Linked DNA regions of Oryzias latipes. The protein of the gene in region 5 purifies or fractionates together with the protein of the main gene of each other region. This does not show direct contact. Links are inferred from orthologs where the notes say so. Each region holds a gene or a part of one and is shown on either strand. Other genes may lie near its edges.

Region 1 (3,500 bases), on a different chromosome or scaffold from region 5:
AAATTCTTTCTCTCATCTAATGTCGAAATCGAATGTTGAACTTTTTCAGGAAAGCTCAGGAATCCCAGAAGGAGATGAAGCTCCTGCTCGACATGTATAAATCTGCTCCAAAGGAGCAAAGAGACAAAGTGCAGCTGATGGCGGCGGAGCGCAAATCTAAAGCAGAGGTTTTTTTTTTCCTCTTTGTTTACCCTTTCAGTTCATGAATAGATTTAAAAGATGAATGCTTAACCCCTTATCTCAAAAACCTCCAGGTGGAAGACTTCAGGATGCGAGTGCGAGAGCTGGAGGAGAGGGAGAGGAAAGAAAGCAAGAAGCTGGCTGATGAAGATGCCCTCAGGAAGATCCGCGTGGCTGAAGAAACTATTGAGCATCTACAGAAGAAACTTGCTGCAACTAAGCAGGTATTTTTGTCTCTCAATCCCATTCTATCAAACTAGAAAAGTTTTATTTGTACACGTTTCAGCCACAAAAACATCCATATCACAATTCATTATTTTCTACTGTCACATAAAAGTTTGACATTGACGGAAAAACGGAGATCATTGACCGTACAGATGTTGAAGCCTTTGGGACTTCACTGAGATGTATACAAGCTGACAGCTGTTGTGGAGTGAAACTAGTGTGATGATTATCATGTTTGCCTCCTAATGTTAGACTGGAGCTCAATAGGAACTGAAAGCTGCTCTCATTTCTCTGCTCTAATCAGCTGAGTTCACATGAAACCAAACCTTACTGTCCTGCTTTGAAGCAACAAGATTGTTGCTGATAACCTGCAGGTTTTTTGTTTTTGTCTCGTCTTTGTGCTTTTGTTGCATTGTTGGTCAACGGTATTCAAAATCGTTTCAGTAAAGAATTTGCTATAATATATTTAATTACCTCAAAATATTTATTTATCAGTCTTTACTTGCGACAAAACAAAGATTCAAAAATGAAAAGCAACAAATTTCAAAAACTAAAATGTGGATAAATTCTTTTGGATGTGAAAGATTGTTGTGGGTTTTCACCTCGATTCTAAATTGAGGGGAGACTAAATTTTTATGGAAAAGATCATATGAAAACCACAATTTGAAATATATTTAATTATGATTTGCATAGATGGGGGAAAAAACAGTCTTGAGAATCTTTGTTATTTCAGTGTTTGGAGTTTGAGGGGCAAAAATAGATTGGATGGAGTCTGTCGCTCATCATCATCTGAACACTTTTGTATCTCATTTCATGCCATGAAGATATTTTTCTTTTTTATTTCAGTTGAAAGCTTGTAAAGCTGTGTATTAAAAGGTTGAGTTTTACAAATGAACCAAAAACAGTTTTAGTTGCATCAGGGGAAAAAAACTGTGGTTTTTAGATGTGTGGCCATAAATAACGAAGCTTAGTCTGTCAGTCTTGAGGTTCAGGTTGCAGTTCCTCAAATGATCACCAAGAGAAAGTTGCAAAAAGGAGCTACCGGTATATAAATGAGGTCGATCTGTTGCGTGGGTTGTGTGTTTGTGTGCTCTGTCACACGCAAATCACACAATGTTCAGGTGCCACTCTGATATGTGTCTTTATTTCAAAAACCTTACATTAATATGTTGCTTTAATTGAAAGTGTGACAAAGAGCTTGTGTGAAGCCTTTCATCCTCACTCTATGAGTAGTTTTCTTTCTCTTCCTAACATTTTAAACAGCGGTTTTTCAGGTTTATTGCTTCGGTCTCTACATATTTTCCCCTAAATCGGCTCTTGCTTTTGGTTTCAGGAGGAGGAGGCTTTGCTCAGTGAGATGGATGTAACTGGACAGGCCTTTGAGGACATGCAGGAGCAGAACAGCCGGCTGCTGCAGCAGCTACGGGAGAAGGACGATGCCAACTTCAAGCTGATGAGTGAGCGGATCAAATCCAATCAGATCTACAAACTGCTGAAGGAGGAGAAGGAGGAACTGGCTGACCAAGTTCTCACCTTCAAAACCCAGGTGGGACGTGACTCCCCCCTAAACCTGAAACTGACAGGTTTCGTACTCGAAAGCAGGAAAAACACCAATTTGCTACTTTTGCTCTCCTGCAGGTGGACGCCCAGCTGCTGGTTGTGCAGAAGCTGGAAGAAAAAGAGGGAGTCCTGCAGAGCACACTGGCTGCTTTGGAGAAGGAGCTTGGTGTCAGAACACAAGCGCTTGAGCTCAACAAGAGGAAGGTGAGAAGAGATGTCAGCCGGTTCCCCTTCACCCTTTTACAGCGGAGCTTTAGCTCCAGGGTTTTCATTCTTTCAACTACTGCAACTTTTCAAACATGTACAGCGTTGACGTCATTTCAGCAGATTCTGACGTTTTCAGCTTTACGCTGATGTTGCAACACTTTGCTTTAGTCGAAGAGTTGCGGTATGTCAAAGAGTGTGTGTTATTTAGGTGACGCCAGTGACACCTCCGGTGATAAAGGGTCAAAGAACAAATGATGTGCATAAAGTAATCACCAAATAAAATAAAATATAAAAGCCCCCCCCCCTATCTGATGTATTTGCATGGTGCTGTTAAAAATACACCTACTGATGAAAAAGCGAGAAGTGGGACCCTGCTCTTTGTTTTTTTACATAACATTTGCTGTGATTCAGCCATGACTTTGTTGTCACTTTTCAAATCTCGGTTGGCCAAAATCCCAACCCATTTATAGATGAATAATTCATGGTTTGATCACGTTGGTTAAGCCTGTGCCAGTAGGGAAAAATGCAGAAGGTGTCAATCAAGCTGTCGGCTGACTTTGCTTGCATTACACTTCATTTACAAAGGGAGCCTCTTACCTGTTTATTCATTTTAATGAGAACATTTTCTGGTTAAGTTAAGCTCAGAACAGGGTAAACTAGTTGTATCCTCTGGCTGTCTGCCTTAATCACCGAAATCAAACCAAAATCTTGAATTGCAAATCATTCTTTGAAATCTATTGTTAACAGGAAAAATGAAAACAAAAAGATTAGCCTCATTTGCCACTTTAGCCATGCTGACTCAACCTCCCCTCTGCCACTCAGGAATCCAATTTAGCTGCTGTTTTCACTGAGTGTTCCTGCTTCCTTCCCCTGCTGCAGGCGGTGGAGGCCGCTCAGCTGGCAGAAGATTTGAAAGTGCAGCTGGAGCACACTCAGGCCAAGCTGAAGGAGATTCAGGTCTCTGTGGCGGAGAACCGCACCGCCCGCGAAAGAGAGAGCAGCAACCTTAAGCGGGCGCAGGTACGCCAATTCCCAAGCGCATCATGTCGATGAAAATCTGCTCAAGTGCCTCCTGAGTTTCTGGGTTTGGGTTCATGTGAAGCATTAAGCTCTGAAAACCGTGTCCTCTCACCCCTGTAGGAAGATCTATCCAGACTAAGACGGAAGCTTGAGAAGCAGAAGAAGGTGGAGGTATACTCTGATGCAGATGAGATCCTACAGGAGGAGATCAATCAGTACAAGGTACAGTTTCCAGTTGACTTTAAACCCACGGCTGGAAATGGGAGCGCAAAAGTACCAGCTGCACAGCACATTGAGACTAATTAAAT
Region 2 (2,211 bases), on a different chromosome or scaffold from region 5:
GTCCCTCCACGTTTTTGTCATTCAGTTTAAAAACTGCTTCACATGAATGAATACTTTAAAGGAGCCGACATTGGGAAGCATTTGTGTTGTATCCGGTGAGCTGCTGTCCAGTTGATTCCAAAACTTCTGCATCCTTTAGCTTGATGAGACTTTTAACACAGAGCCAGCAGTTTAATCCCTTTGTTCAAATTTTTTTTATTTCTGCCTTAAAAATGTGAAACATCTGGATCCAAACCCTGAATCATCAAAGTTCAATCCCACTGTTCTCGTTATCAGCTCCAGTCTGTCCTGTCCATTCTGAGGTCAGAGAGAACAAAAGAATCGTAAAGATTCAAGAAGGAGAAAGTTTAGAAAAAGAAGCATATCAAATATAAACAGCTATACAGCAAAAAATGTAAAAGACATGAAGATCAGTCCACTTTGAATGTAGCACATTTGACAAAAGACGCTTCAAGATCAAGCTTCAAATCGTATTTTTTGTCTTTCTGCCTTATTGGTCAAAGTACGGCCTCATTTAAAGTCCCACTCCAATCCTCTTTGATCTATTGTAAAAGTATCCCCACTGCTCTTTTAATGAGGATTTTCAGTCAAAAAAAACAAATAAAACATTAGTTCATTAGAAATTTACCTCTGAATTGAGGGCAACCCCATTGGTGCAAAGTAAGCCCGCCCCTATTTCCCGTCATCCATCTGATTACACTTTCTCCCACTAGCTTACAGCCCCAACCGAACATTGCAGATGCAACAAAAACGGGGAGCAATGTTGGAGCAGATAACAGTTCAGACGAGGAAAACAAAGACGTTCATGGATCTATTTGTCTGCAAGTGGATACATCAGAATGGAGCAGAGCAGGGAGCTTGTTGCCCACTAATTATAGCTTGTATGTCACCTCTACAGGCTTTCGCCAACTGTATTTCTGCTCCTAATTCGCCATGATTACAAACACAACACAATTTACATCAGAGTGGGTCTGCCAATAGGTCATTTTGGAACGAAAGTTCTCAGAAATTGCTAAACGTTCTGTTCTTGAACTCTTGTTTAAGTAACCCTGACAGAGGCTGCAGACGCGCTTTGACGTGGAGAAAGAAAATCAACAGTCACGGGTTACAAATCCAGCTGATGTGTGTGGAGGGCTGGCCTACTGGTCACTGACATGAACCCTTGGCTGGTTGGTCATTGGTTCAAGTCCCAATTCTGACTTGAAAAAGTCATAGTAAAGTAAAAAAGCCTTTGCTCCACTGCTGTAATGCCCTTGAGCAAGGCTCTTAAGAGGAGCTGTTCCGTGAACAGAGGTTGACCCGGGTATCTCCCAGGTGAAAAGAGTTCCGTCTCAATGGGTGTCTCTTATATAAATAAAGGGATAAAAAACAGCTTCAGACAGTGACTCTAGTTTTAAGTGTTCTATGAATGTGAAAAACATCTTATCTTGTTTCCATGATCAGATTCAGTGCCAGACAGAACAAAACCTTGCCGTCTTGTTAAAGCAGTTTTATGACGCTGTGCAATAATAATTGCCATAATTCACAGAAAAGTCGAAGCCTCGTCTTACTAAACAGCAGGAAGTTCAGCTGCAGCTCAGAATAGATCCAGTTTGATTGCATATGCCAAATATCAGGGCTAAAATCGATCAGGTGTTTGTTTTTCCAGGACTTGATGTGTTTACTTACAGGCAGAGCGGCTGGTTCTGCATCCTCACCATCTGTTGTCTGTGTGTGCGTCCCAGGCGGCAGACAGTGACCAGCACCCCCTGCTGGATCGAGCTCCACCTGAACGGCCCTCTGCAGTGGCTCGACAAGGTGCTGACACAGATGGGCTCCCCAAGCATCCACTGCTCCAGTGTCTCCTAGGGGGAGCTTCCCTGCCCCCCCCCCCCCCCCCCCCTTTCACGAAACTGAAAACACAGATAGGAAGAGCAGCCCGAGAACTACATGATGACACGCCTCTCATCCAGCCACTGTTTGTCCCTCCTCGCTGCCAGTAGCACTTTTTTTATTTTCTAGTTGCAAAAAGGGGACACGTGCATTAATGCAGTATCAGTTTAGGAGGATCTCAGCATATTGGTCTTTTTTCTTTTTTCTTTTTTTTTTTGAAGGTCATTGTCATTTTTGGCATCTGATAGCCAGAAAGGCAGAATTATTTTTTTATTTCCTGTTTTTTTTTAATGTCTTGTTTATTGTTTATAGCTGTTGGATACATTTTACACTCAATTA
Region 3 (3,372 bases), on a different chromosome or scaffold from region 5:
TCTGGGATGGAGGAGCGCCTGAGGCCTCTGGTGTACACCATCCGATTCTGGGCCAGGCAGAAGAAGCTGGCTGGTAACGTGCTCTTATTTTAAGAACCTTTTGGGGTTTTTGTAAGCTCATAACCATTTTGTTTTTGTGCGATAAGAACAGTGTGGAAAATAGTTCTTGGTTTGAATTGGCTGCTATTTCATTCTTTGACCAACAGGTGTCACTGGAGCTGCACCGTGCTTCTCTAAACACAACTAGACTTTTATTTTGAAGTAAATGTTTGACTCAAAATGTATTTTGTATCATGTCAAACATGTCATCTTGGAGAAACATAGTAAAATATATAAACTTTATTGTATTTTTGAGCACAGAGTCAATCTAAACAGGAGACAAAGCAGCAGATAGACTGAATAGTTTTATTGACTTTTTGGATTACAGTTTCCTGTTTTGACCTGCAGGTAACCCCAGCGGCGCCGGCCCCCTCCTCAACAACTACGCTCTGACCCTGCTGGTCATTTTTTACCTGCAGAACTGCGAGCCTCCTGTTCTCCCCACAGTGGAGCAGCTGAAAGACATGGCCTGTAAGTGCTGCCTTCCTCTGATGCGTTTTTAAGCATTTTCTCCATTTTCTGATGACCTGCAGCTATGAACAGGAAGTGACCGCTGCTCTATAGGCTGAAAGGATAAAAGGGAAAAAGCTTGAGTTGGGATGTTTGAATACATTTTCCTCTTCTAGGGTTTTGTTTGTTTAGGTGCCGCAAAAAATATTCTTGCACATTTAAAAAAATAAAATAAATTAACTTTATTGTTTTGGTTTTTCTCTGTGCAGGTGAGGAAGAGGAGTGTGTGATTGAAGGCTGGAACTGCACCTTCCCCAGTCAACCCATTGCTGTGCTTCCCAGCAAGAACACACAGGACCTCTGTAAGTGACTTTAATCAGACAGAAATGTCCTTTACGGCACCGGTCCCCCACCCCCGGTCCCTGGGACAGTTGGTACCGCGTTAGGGTTCCGTTTTATTTATAATCTGATTCTGAAGGAGGTTTTATTTTGAAAACTAATGGAAAAGAGTCAGTGAGGAAACAGAAGAGGAGCTTTTGAAAATATCTGCATTCAACAGACAAATACCAGGAGTCTTAGCTCCAAATATGGATTTATTGTGACATTTGTTCCCACACACCATAATAATGATGCAGAAAATCCAACAACCGGCTGTCTAATGTTAAGAGGATGCTGCTAATAAAGTTGTTTAAATTTTAATTTTCCGTCGGAAGTTGAAGTCGGACGAGGCTGAAGTTGGCGTCTTATTTTTTATGCTTCCACTTTGATAGTTCTGGGTTAAAAGAAAATCTGTGTCCCATGTTAAGGGTCTCTACATGAAATCTTAATTTAAAACAGCTGCAGGTATTTTACAGAGGATGAACCTTTCTCACAAAATGAAGGGAAATTAGAGTCTTCGACTTCAGCCTCGTACAGAACAGTCTGTGAAAATATTGTGTGGCGTTCAAGCGGTGGGGGATTTCTGCTTTATGGGGTCTAAATGTGACTTTCTGTCTTCCTCCTGCAGCCTCCTTGCTGGCTGGTTTCTTCTCCTTCTATGCAAAGTTTGATTTTGCCAGCAATGTCGTATCCTTAAGGGAGGGGCGCGCACTTCCTGTTGTAGATTTTCTTGGCAAAGGCAAAGAAGAGGAGGAAAACCCCCCCAAAGGCAGTCGCCAACACCCCAAATTGGGCTCCATGACTCTCCTGGATCCTTTTGAGCTCTCCCACAACGTAGCCGGAAACCTGAACGAGCGCTCCCACCACAACTTCCAGAGGGAATGCCAGGAGGCGGAGAAGTACTGCCGCAGCCTGCAGTACCAGCACAAGTCCGCCAAGGGCAAGTCATGGGGGCTGGTGCGCTTGTTTACCCCTCATGGGGAAGTCTCGCTCAACAAAGCAGAGCAGCTGAGCATCAGCATCCCTTTTAAATCAACGTCGCTCCCTGAGGCGATGCGCAGCGAGCTGCACACGGCGGGAGAGGATTTTCGCCGTCTGTGGTTCCAGAAGGTTCTCTCTGCTGTGGAACAGGTGTTCAGAGCCGTTCTCCAGTGTCACCTCACGGTGTCCTCTGACGCTGCAGCAGGAGAGGAGGCAGCAGAAGGCCCGCCAGCTTCCATGAACTCCTCAGGAAATGACAGTTTTGATGGCGTTCCACCTCAGACGGAACAAAGTCCTCAGGACGCGGTGGTGGTCGGAGCAAAGAGGTTGCTCTCTTCAGGCAGCGACACCTCAGTTTCGCCCCAAGGCAAAAAAGCCAGGCTGATGAAAAGAGGAAAGCCGGATGCGCCCCCGTGGATCTGTACGCAGAAGTATCCGGTGTGGGCCGGCAGGAGGAAAGTGAAGCGGGAAATCCTGAAGGGCCCGGACTCCGGGGCCGAGGGCAGCTGTGCAGAGCTGGAGTCCAAGGTCACAGCCCACATCCAGGAGAAAGAAGCCCAACTCAAGGAAGCCCTGGAGTTCAGAGTTCAGCCCCAGGTGGTGGGGGGGACAGAGAGCACAAAGGCGGTGCTCCGGCTGCAGCCTAGCAGCGACAAACCGGGAGCTTTCCACGACTTTTTTCACTTTCTGGAGGTTTTTGTACCCAAGATGGTCGACACGTTGCTGGAAAAAGAAGCGCAGAACCAGATGACTTGTGACTAAACTGAGCCACAACACAGATGTTCCTCAGCAGAAATCAGAGATTTACTTTAGTTTGAATGTTGGTTTGACGTCACAGTGTTACTGTTTTCATTTATACTGTATTTTTGTAATAAAAAGGGAATTATTGTTTAACGTTTCTGTTCAGAACGGCTCAAAAAGGCTGAAACTTTGAAAATAAAAAACATTTTTTGGCTGAAGGAGAGTCGGGAACATTCATTTACTCGAGCACCACATCAACACATTTTACTGAAAGACCCCCACACGCATTTCTCTCATGATGGAGGACATATATTAGGAAAATTGGGATTAAAATGGCATTTCTTAGTTTTTCCTAATTCAAATTCTTTCTTAGTTTTTCCTAATTCAAATTCTAATTCAAATCATTGAATCATTGAGGATCAGATGCAGCGTTAGAAATCAGGGGGAAAAAATGGTTGTCCTCCAGACAACCAGGCAAGTAATATTTGGTTGTCCTCCCCAATTTTTGGTTGTCCTTCGATACCAATATTCGACAGCAACGAAACCTACTCAGATGTCAGTACTTGCATCTTTAGTTTTTCTATACATCTAATATCAACTGCCTCTTATGATGGACATTTAAAAAACTCTTTAAATATTAAAAACAAACTTTTTACTAAATATTGAAGCATCTGGTTACACAAAGTATTGCCAAAAACTTGAAACTAATATCTTTATGAGTAT
Region 4 (3,341 bases), on a different chromosome or scaffold from region 5:
ACCGTAAAGTAAGTATCCTAGTCCAATAAACTTTTGAAAAGTGATTTGTTAACCACTAAATTAGAAAATTGTAGCTATATCTGATGAAATCCACTGTAACATGTCCTCAGCTAACATCCTGTTAGGCACCCCTTGCCAGACTTAATCCCAGTTTTGACTGTACAATATCTAAACTCTTCCTGTGGTCAAAACTGGTCTCTAAAGACATTTGTAAGGGATTTTTGTCTAAGTATTTTTTCTCTTTATCTGTAAACTTTAAAGTCTCAGACTGTTTTGAAGAACCATTCCAATTACCATTTTTCTGCCTCAGTGTCTTTAATGAATTTTTTTTATTATTGTGTGGAGGAACTTTTTTTTTGTCTTGAAATGGCAAACTTTGTATCAAGGAATGTTCCTGAGGAAACAAACATTTATTTATTATAGTAAATGCAGAGCAAAAAATTTGCCATCTCTAAGTTAAAAGTACACACATTTGTTTTTCTGTGTAATTTTTTTAATGCTTCTAGCTTCTTTCAAGGTTCTAGAATAAAATGTTTTATTTGACATGTTTGACAGAAAAAGCTCTGATTACATTCATTCCATTAATATTAGTTATATTCTTTACAACTGTTCTTCTTTTCCCAGTGGACACTGATAAACCAGTAACCCTGGGTGTGTATTTGACAAAGAAAGAACAGAAGAAACTAAGGAGACAAACGCGGAGGGAGGCACAAAAAGAATTGCAGGAAAAGGTCCGTCTTGGATTGATGCCACCACCGGAACCTAAAGGTACTTGCACACAAGTGAACATTGTTCTATGCCTGTAATCAGGTCAAGTAATGGTACATGATGATTTTTTTTGTACTTTTAAGTTCGTATCTCCAACTTGATGAGAGTCTTGGGGACGGAGGCGGTCCAGGACCCCACTAAAGTAGAGGCCCATGTGAGAGCACAGATGGCAAAAAGACAAAAGTAGGTGTTTTGTTACCGTGAGAATCCACAGAGACTCACATTTTTCTTAAGTGTTTTTCTAACAGCGACACTTTTTCAGAGCTCATGAGGAAGCCAATGCAGCTCGAAAGCTTTCAACAGAGCAAAGAAAAGAGAAGAAGGTCAAGAAGTTGAAAGAAGACCTCACTAACGGAGTTCACATTTCAGTGTACAGGTATGCATTTGAGGACGGGAACAGCAAATATATATATTTTTAAATATCTGTTTTCAAAGCTCTTTTTACACCTTGAAAACCAATATAAATGTTGTATCTTACAGAATCCGTAACCTGACAAATCCTGCAAAGAAGTTTAAGGTGGAGGCCAATGCAAACCAGCTGTACCTGACTGGAACAGTAGTTCTGCACAGAGATGTTAATCTTGTTGTTGTAGAGGGAGGTAAGGAAGAAATCTGTTTAAATTATATTGATGTCCTTTTATATTGATCTGCTGAAACTTAATAACACATTTATTGACATGTTTCAATTATTACTGTTTATATAGCCTTTCATTTACTGTTTAGAAGATTTCATTATAGAGAGAAAATACTGATTTTTTTTTTCAATTGAACCTCACTTGATCTGAACTGGGAAGAGAAAATGCCAGCAAATTCATATATGAAATGTAATAAAGAATCAATTGTCTCTTTCCCTTGAAGGCCCTAAATCCCAGAAAAAATTCAGGAAGTTGATGCTGCATAGAATCAAGTGGGAAGAACACAGTAGCAAAAGAGATGGTAAGATTACTGCTTTTGTATTGCTGCTATGGAAAAACGTCTTAATTGATTGCAAATTATAAAAAATAATAATCGCAAGTTTAAGAAATTATGTGTCTGAGATTTGCAGTTTATTTATACAGCTATGGGTAATTATCTTTTGTAGCTTTTAGTTTTCACCAACCACTGATAACGGTTCAAAAGTGGTTTATGTCAATTATCAGGACACAAGCTATTTCTACATACCGTACTATTGTTGGCTCAGTGTTTGCTTCAAATAAAATATGCTCACATTTTTCAAATCTTAGATCCAGATGTTGATGACACAAAGAGAAACAACAAGTGTTGGTTGATTTGGGAGGTGAGTGAACATGCATTTATTCTGTTTCCATTGCACATTTAGAACTTCTTTAGTCCATCCAAGTCTAATGGTTCCTTCTGCTTCCTTAGGGAACAGGTAAAGATCGAAGTTATGGAGAGATCAAGTTCAAGCAGTGTCCCACAGAGAGCATGGCCCGAGAACACTTCAAGAAGCACGGAACAGAACATTACTGGGACCTTGCCCTCAGCCATAGTGTGTTGGACGGCACCGATGATTGAAACCTTCGAGGGGAGAGATCTGTTTCAAATAAGGACTGCTACAGTCAAACCTGCAGACCTGCTGCCTCACAATAGCCAGAATTATCTATTGGCTGCTGAGGAGGAAGGAACAAAGACTCAATAAAGAGACTTCAACAGAAAATACGGGGCACATTAAACCTGTTTTTCTAAGAAAAAGTGAGCTCCTGTGTATACAAGGCAGTATATGTAGTTTTGCATTTAGTTGATTTCATTGGATGCAAGTCTGTCCTGTTTAGACCGACTGATTCCGACCTAAATCAGTCTGTTTCGGCTCATTTTCTGCTATAAAATCCTCAACTTAAATCATATTGTCTTTGTTGATTAGGAAGAATGTCCTAATGACAACACACTATCACTAAGTTGACCTTTTACTTTTTGAAGTTTATTTTTTGAAACCTTGCTTTTAGACACCTTTCACACAGTTACCGCATCATTTATTTTTTGACCCATCAGTGTGTTGACCCCCTATCCACAGAGGTTAGCCATGTTTCCTTGTAACATTTAAAACTGCCTTAATTAAAAAATGTGAAAAAAAGACTTCATCTTTGATTTTGTTTGCTAACCGCTTCAATTGCCTGGGTCATTTCATAAGTTTTTAGCCCAAATAAAAAAAAAAAATACCGAGTTAAAATATTGGTGTGTAGGTTGGTATTTTTATGGCATGAAGTTAATACATATGTAATGACTCGCGGGGGGCGTGGTCTCCCCTGCGTTGCCTTGTCTTCCATCACGCCTTCGCCCTCGTCCCTATCATTAGTTGATAGAGCTTGAAATATGGCGGCCGGTTCCGAGGCTGCGAGCGGCCAGGGAGCTCGCAGCTCCACCGCTGCATTGGAAGCGTCGTTGGACCGCCGGTTTCAGGCAGTGTCTAACACCATGGAGTCGATACAAGGACTCTCAAGCTGGTGCATTGAAAACAAGAAACATTACAGCCTTATTGTTCGCTATTGGATGAAGTGGCTAAAGAAATGTGAGTAGTTTCTCGCTGAAGCTAACTGCTAGCCTGTAGCCAGCATATTTAAGCTGAGTCAAATGCA
Region 5 (3,500 bases):
AAGTGAAGAAGAAATATTTTGATGAAACGATTGTCGAGGTAAACCGACATTTTACTGAATTTTTTTTCTTTTAAAGTTCTTGAGTTTATCACTCAAGAGACACTAGAACTGTTTTTCATTGGCGAGTCTGTTCATTGCATGCTGATAAATTAAATGGATAAAGATGCAGGAAATTAGTAAGGGATTTTCAGAATAAAATACACAAGTGAATTTGCCAAATAATCTTTAAGAAGAACCGTTTTTTGTTTTGTTTTGCTCCGTTTTTGTGTCCACCTGAGAACAGGACTTTGACAAACACGAGAGCATGGAGTACAAGCCTCAGAAGAAAGCTTTCTTCAAGCTGAAAGACTGCATCGACCTGTTCACCACCAAGGAGAAGCTGGGAGCCGACGACCCGTGGTGAGAAAGCAGCTCCACGCCTTCCTGCAGCTCCCTCAGGACAAGCCCAGAGCTCGTGGAACAGTCATGAAACCATCAGGGGGAAATGCTTTGTATTAGTGCAACTGTTAGAAACCCATAAATTAGACCTACATTTGCAGCAGGTTAGGTTAGGATAGAAACGGCAGTAAAATATTAAGGTGCTTGCCATGTTTTTCTTGAGGATCTGCGTACAAAGTGTGTTCCTGACATTTCACATTTAGTTCCCTGCATGATCAGAAATAGAACGGGAAGCCCTCAGCTGGATGCAATTTATAATTGATGTTGCTAAATGTCACTAATTGAACCTGCTTTGGAGCTACTCAGTCATTTAAAAAAAGAAACATGTCTGGCCGCGTCTCTGCTTACAGGTACTGTCCAAACTGCAAACAGCACCAACAGGCTACCAAGAAGCTGGACTTGTGGTCTCTGCCACCAGTGCTGGTGGTCCATCTGAAACGTTTTTCCTACAGTCGCTACATGAGGGACAAACTAGACTCGCTGGTTGACTTCCCACTCAGGTACACACACACGCACATCTTCTCATCTTTATATATTTGTGGGGTCCAAGCATGCATTTGACATCTTCGTTTAGGTGATTTAAATCAAAAAATGTGGTACAATAATAAACAGTTCATTAATATATGTCATACTTTGTTCAAGACCACCTTTTTAGAGATCAACTTGAAGCTTTAAAATTAAAAAAAAACCTGAAAAGAGCTTTTTTTAGTAATGAGGTTAGTTATTGACCTTTAAATTCTCCGTTTTGTGTCTTTAGAGACTTGGACATGTCTGAATTCCTGATCAATCCCAACGCCGGGCCATGCCGCTACGACCTCATCGCTGTCTCCAACCACTACGGAGGGATGGGAGGAGGCCACTGTGAGTTGGTTCTGTTTCCTTTTTTTTTTTGGAAAGGAATGCAACTTTTCTGTCATGTCTCATTCTCTGCAAAGGCTGTTCAAAGATGAACAACACAGTTCACTTGAAAAACTTCCCATCAGCACCTCTGACCAATTGCCTGCCTGTCTTTCCCTCAAGGGATTCTGGGAAGTGAAGTTGTACAACATTATCTGACCATTTTGTTTGGCTGAATGCGTCTTCTGATCGGAAATTCAAACACGGCATTCACACACCGATGCTAACACTGTTATGAATAGAGGCAGAACTCTTTTTTTTCTTCTATTTTTCCTAATTTGAGATGCAGCTTTTGTTGATTAAAATAGCTTCATATTGTTGTTTTTTTACAAAGCTGTCTTCTGTGATGCAGAACAAACTCTAAGCAGGTTTTTATGGCTATGAAAAAAGCAAACTGCATCCACTGCTGCCTGGCGAAATCCACTTTTATTTTAAGAAAATAATGTTGCGTCTCTTTTCAGGGAAAACATCAAGCCATCATTATTTTGCTAACCTGTCAATCAATGAATAAACTCTTTATTGGGCTGCCTTCTCATGTGCCCCACAGACACCGCTTATGCTAAAAACAAAGACGACGGAAAGTGGTACAACTTTGATGACAGCAGCGTGTCCCCTGCTAGTGAAGATCAGATCGTGGTGAGTGTCCTCCTTCAGAAAGTCGTGCGGTGTTTGTTGGTAAGAGGAACTAGATGATTTCATCCGAACCGCACATCGGAACACCTAGTGTTTCCAACTATGACAAACACTGTAGTGTTAACCCTTTAACAGCAGAGCGGTCACGCTCTTTCAACATCTTTGACCAATGACGTCATTAACGTAACTGCAGTGGATTCTGAAGCAGAGAAAAGTAGCTTTGCGCCGATGTGCCATAGATCAGCGGTGACCAACCCCCCGGCCGCGGACCGGTACCGGTCCAAGGGTCATTTGGTACCGGGCCGCAGAGAAAGAATAAAGAACTTGCATTACTTCTGTTTTATTTATTTTGGAATCTGAAAGATGTTTTATTTTGTAAAATTGCCCGATTCTCTGTAACATCCGTCTATGTCAAGACCAAGGCGCTCTTCTCGGTCACGTGATAGGTTACCGCTGAAATATAACCCAGGAGCTAGCTAAATGAGTTAAAAAACAAACGTCTTTGGAAAATTTCTTTGCCAGGGGGGAAAACGCCCAGCCAGGAGACAGAAGAGGAGCCTTCCACTTCCAAAATAAAGAAAGCTACATTTAATATACAGTACGTCTTTTTTGCACCATGAGTGTAGGAAGGGGAGAGGATGATGACACCTGTGCGACGTACAATACCTGTCAAAATAAAAGCTCAGAGTTCGTATTGTAATGTCTCTGTTCCTTCCTCATCGTAGCTTTGCTACAATAATTGTCCGCCACATCTTCAAGACCGGTCCGTGAAAGTTTTGTCTGACGTCATACCGGGCCGTGGCATTACAAATCGTTGCCATACATGACTACGGTAAAGTTTCGCATTTCGGCTCAAAGCTGTTTCTCTCTGCTTCAGAATCCACGGGAATTCCGCTACTTGTGTAAATGGTTGAGGAGACTTGGACATTGACAGAATGTCAACACGGGTGCTAAACGTGGTGTCTCACAGCCACAAAGTACTTTTTTGCCTATGTTGCCTAGATAGAAATGAGTCATACGTGAATATGCGAGGGAAAAAAGTTAGAGAAGTTGTGGTCTTTACATGAAATTTACTACAGATGCATGACGAATGACTCATGTTAAAACCACGGAAGAAATACGACTAAACCACGCAATGATCACGTAAATCAACGAACATGAAGCGTGTTTGATTATTGTGCTGTTTATATTCAATTCATTAGTGATTCGTGTGTCAATTATGAAAGTTTAACATGTGTGCGGCGATTACGTGATATAAAGGTTATAATTCAGTGGTCCGTGCGAGAAAGGTCATAGACATACGTGGAAAAGTGGCAGAAAGTCACAAATTTGCATGTGCATCTCGCAAAAATCGCGCACAATTGCGTAACATTTATCTAATAATTGCGAATAGACGACATAAAATACGCGTAAACGGGGAAACCAAAAATTTAGAAGAGCTCAAATTTGAATTTACGCAAAGCCTGAAAACCCTTGACAAACATCTGGGCACATCAACGAATGACGAACGCCATATATGTATTTTTTCATTA

The links. The genes of interacting proteins can lie anywhere in the genome.
Region 1: the proteins of usp15 (region 5) and rnf40 purify together in Homo sapiens (affinity purification with mass spectrometry; 4 studies listed by BioGRID and IntAct, with this or other methods). This does not show direct contact. The link is inferred for Oryzias latipes from reciprocal best matches to the Homo sapiens genes USP15 and RNF40.
Region 2: the proteins of usp15 (region 5) and mothers against decapentaplegic homolog 3 purify together in Homo sapiens (affinity purification with western blotting; 4 studies listed by BioGRID). This does not show direct contact. The link is inferred for Oryzias latipes from reciprocal best matches to the Homo sapiens genes USP15 and SMAD3.
Region 3: the proteins of usp15 (region 5) and tut1 purify together in Homo sapiens (affinity purification with mass spectrometry; 4 studies listed by BioGRID and IntAct, with this or other methods). This does not show direct contact. The link is inferred for Oryzias latipes from reciprocal best matches to the Homo sapiens genes USP15 and TUT1.
Region 4: the proteins of usp15 (region 5) and prpf3 purify together in Homo sapiens (affinity purification with mass spectrometry; 3 studies listed by BioGRID and IntAct, with this or other methods). This does not show direct contact. The link is inferred for Oryzias latipes from reciprocal best matches to the Homo sapiens genes USP15 and PRPF3.

The regions. Positions count from the first base shown.
Region 1 is NC_019877.2:9,338,498-9,341,997, forward strand, and holds part of rnf40 (E3 ubiquitin-protein ligase BRE1B), read left to right. Parts: intron 1-49; coding exon 50-167; intron 168-254; coding exon 255-404; intron 405-1,738; coding exon 1,739-1,951; intron 1,952-2,043; coding exon 2,044-2,169; intron 2,170-3,051; coding exon 3,052-3,192; intron 3,193-3,312; coding exon 3,313-3,414; intron 3,415-3,500.
Region 2 is NC_019861.2:12,626,459-12,628,669, reverse strand, and holds part of mothers against decapentaplegic homolog 3, read left to right. Parts: intron 1-1,724; coding exon 1,725-1,848; 3' UTR 1,849-2,211. UniProt on the Homo sapiens protein: Receptor-regulated SMAD (R-SMAD) that is an intracellular signal transducer and transcriptional modulator activated by TGF-beta (transforming growth factor) and activin type 1 receptor kinases.
Region 3 is NC_019877.2:4,397,502-4,400,873, reverse strand, and holds the end of tut1 (speckle targeted PIP5K1A-regulated poly(A) polymerase), read left to right. Parts: coding exon 1-73; intron 74-447; coding exon 448-570; intron 571-818; coding exon 819-911; intron 912-1,555; coding exon 1,556-2,670; 3' UTR 2,671-2,872; downstream 2,873-3,372. UniProt on the Homo sapiens protein: Poly(A) polymerase that creates the 3'-poly(A) tail of specific pre-mRNAs. Localizes to nuclear speckles together with PIP5K1A and mediates polyadenylation of a select set of mRNAs, such as HMOX1.
Region 4 is NC_019874.2:18,954,479-18,957,819, forward strand, and holds the end of prpf3 (U4/U6 small nuclear ribonucleoprotein Prp3), read left to right. Parts: intron 1-624; coding exon 625-768; intron 769-851; coding exon 852-951; intron 952-1,030; coding exon 1,031-1,144; intron 1,145-1,248; coding exon 1,249-1,367; intron 1,368-1,626; coding exon 1,627-1,704; intron 1,705-1,991; coding exon 1,992-2,044; intron 2,045-2,133; coding exon 2,134-2,283; 3' UTR 2,284-2,841; downstream 2,842-3,341. UniProt on the Homo sapiens protein: Plays a role in pre-mRNA splicing as component of the U4/U6-U5 tri-snRNP complex that is involved in spliceosome assembly, and as component of the precatalytic spliceosome (spliceosome B complex).
Region 5 is NC_019881.2:6,936,941-6,940,440, forward strand, and holds part of usp15 (ubiquitin carboxyl-terminal hydrolase 15), read left to right. Parts: coding exon 1-38; intron 39-283; coding exon 284-399; intron 400-788; coding exon 789-938; intron 939-1,195; coding exon 1,196-1,299; intron 1,300-1,882; coding exon 1,883-1,971; intron 1,972-3,500. UniProt on the Homo sapiens protein: Hydrolase that removes conjugated ubiquitin from target proteins and regulates various pathways such as the TGF-beta receptor signaling, NF-kappa-B and RNF41/NRDP1-PRKN pathways.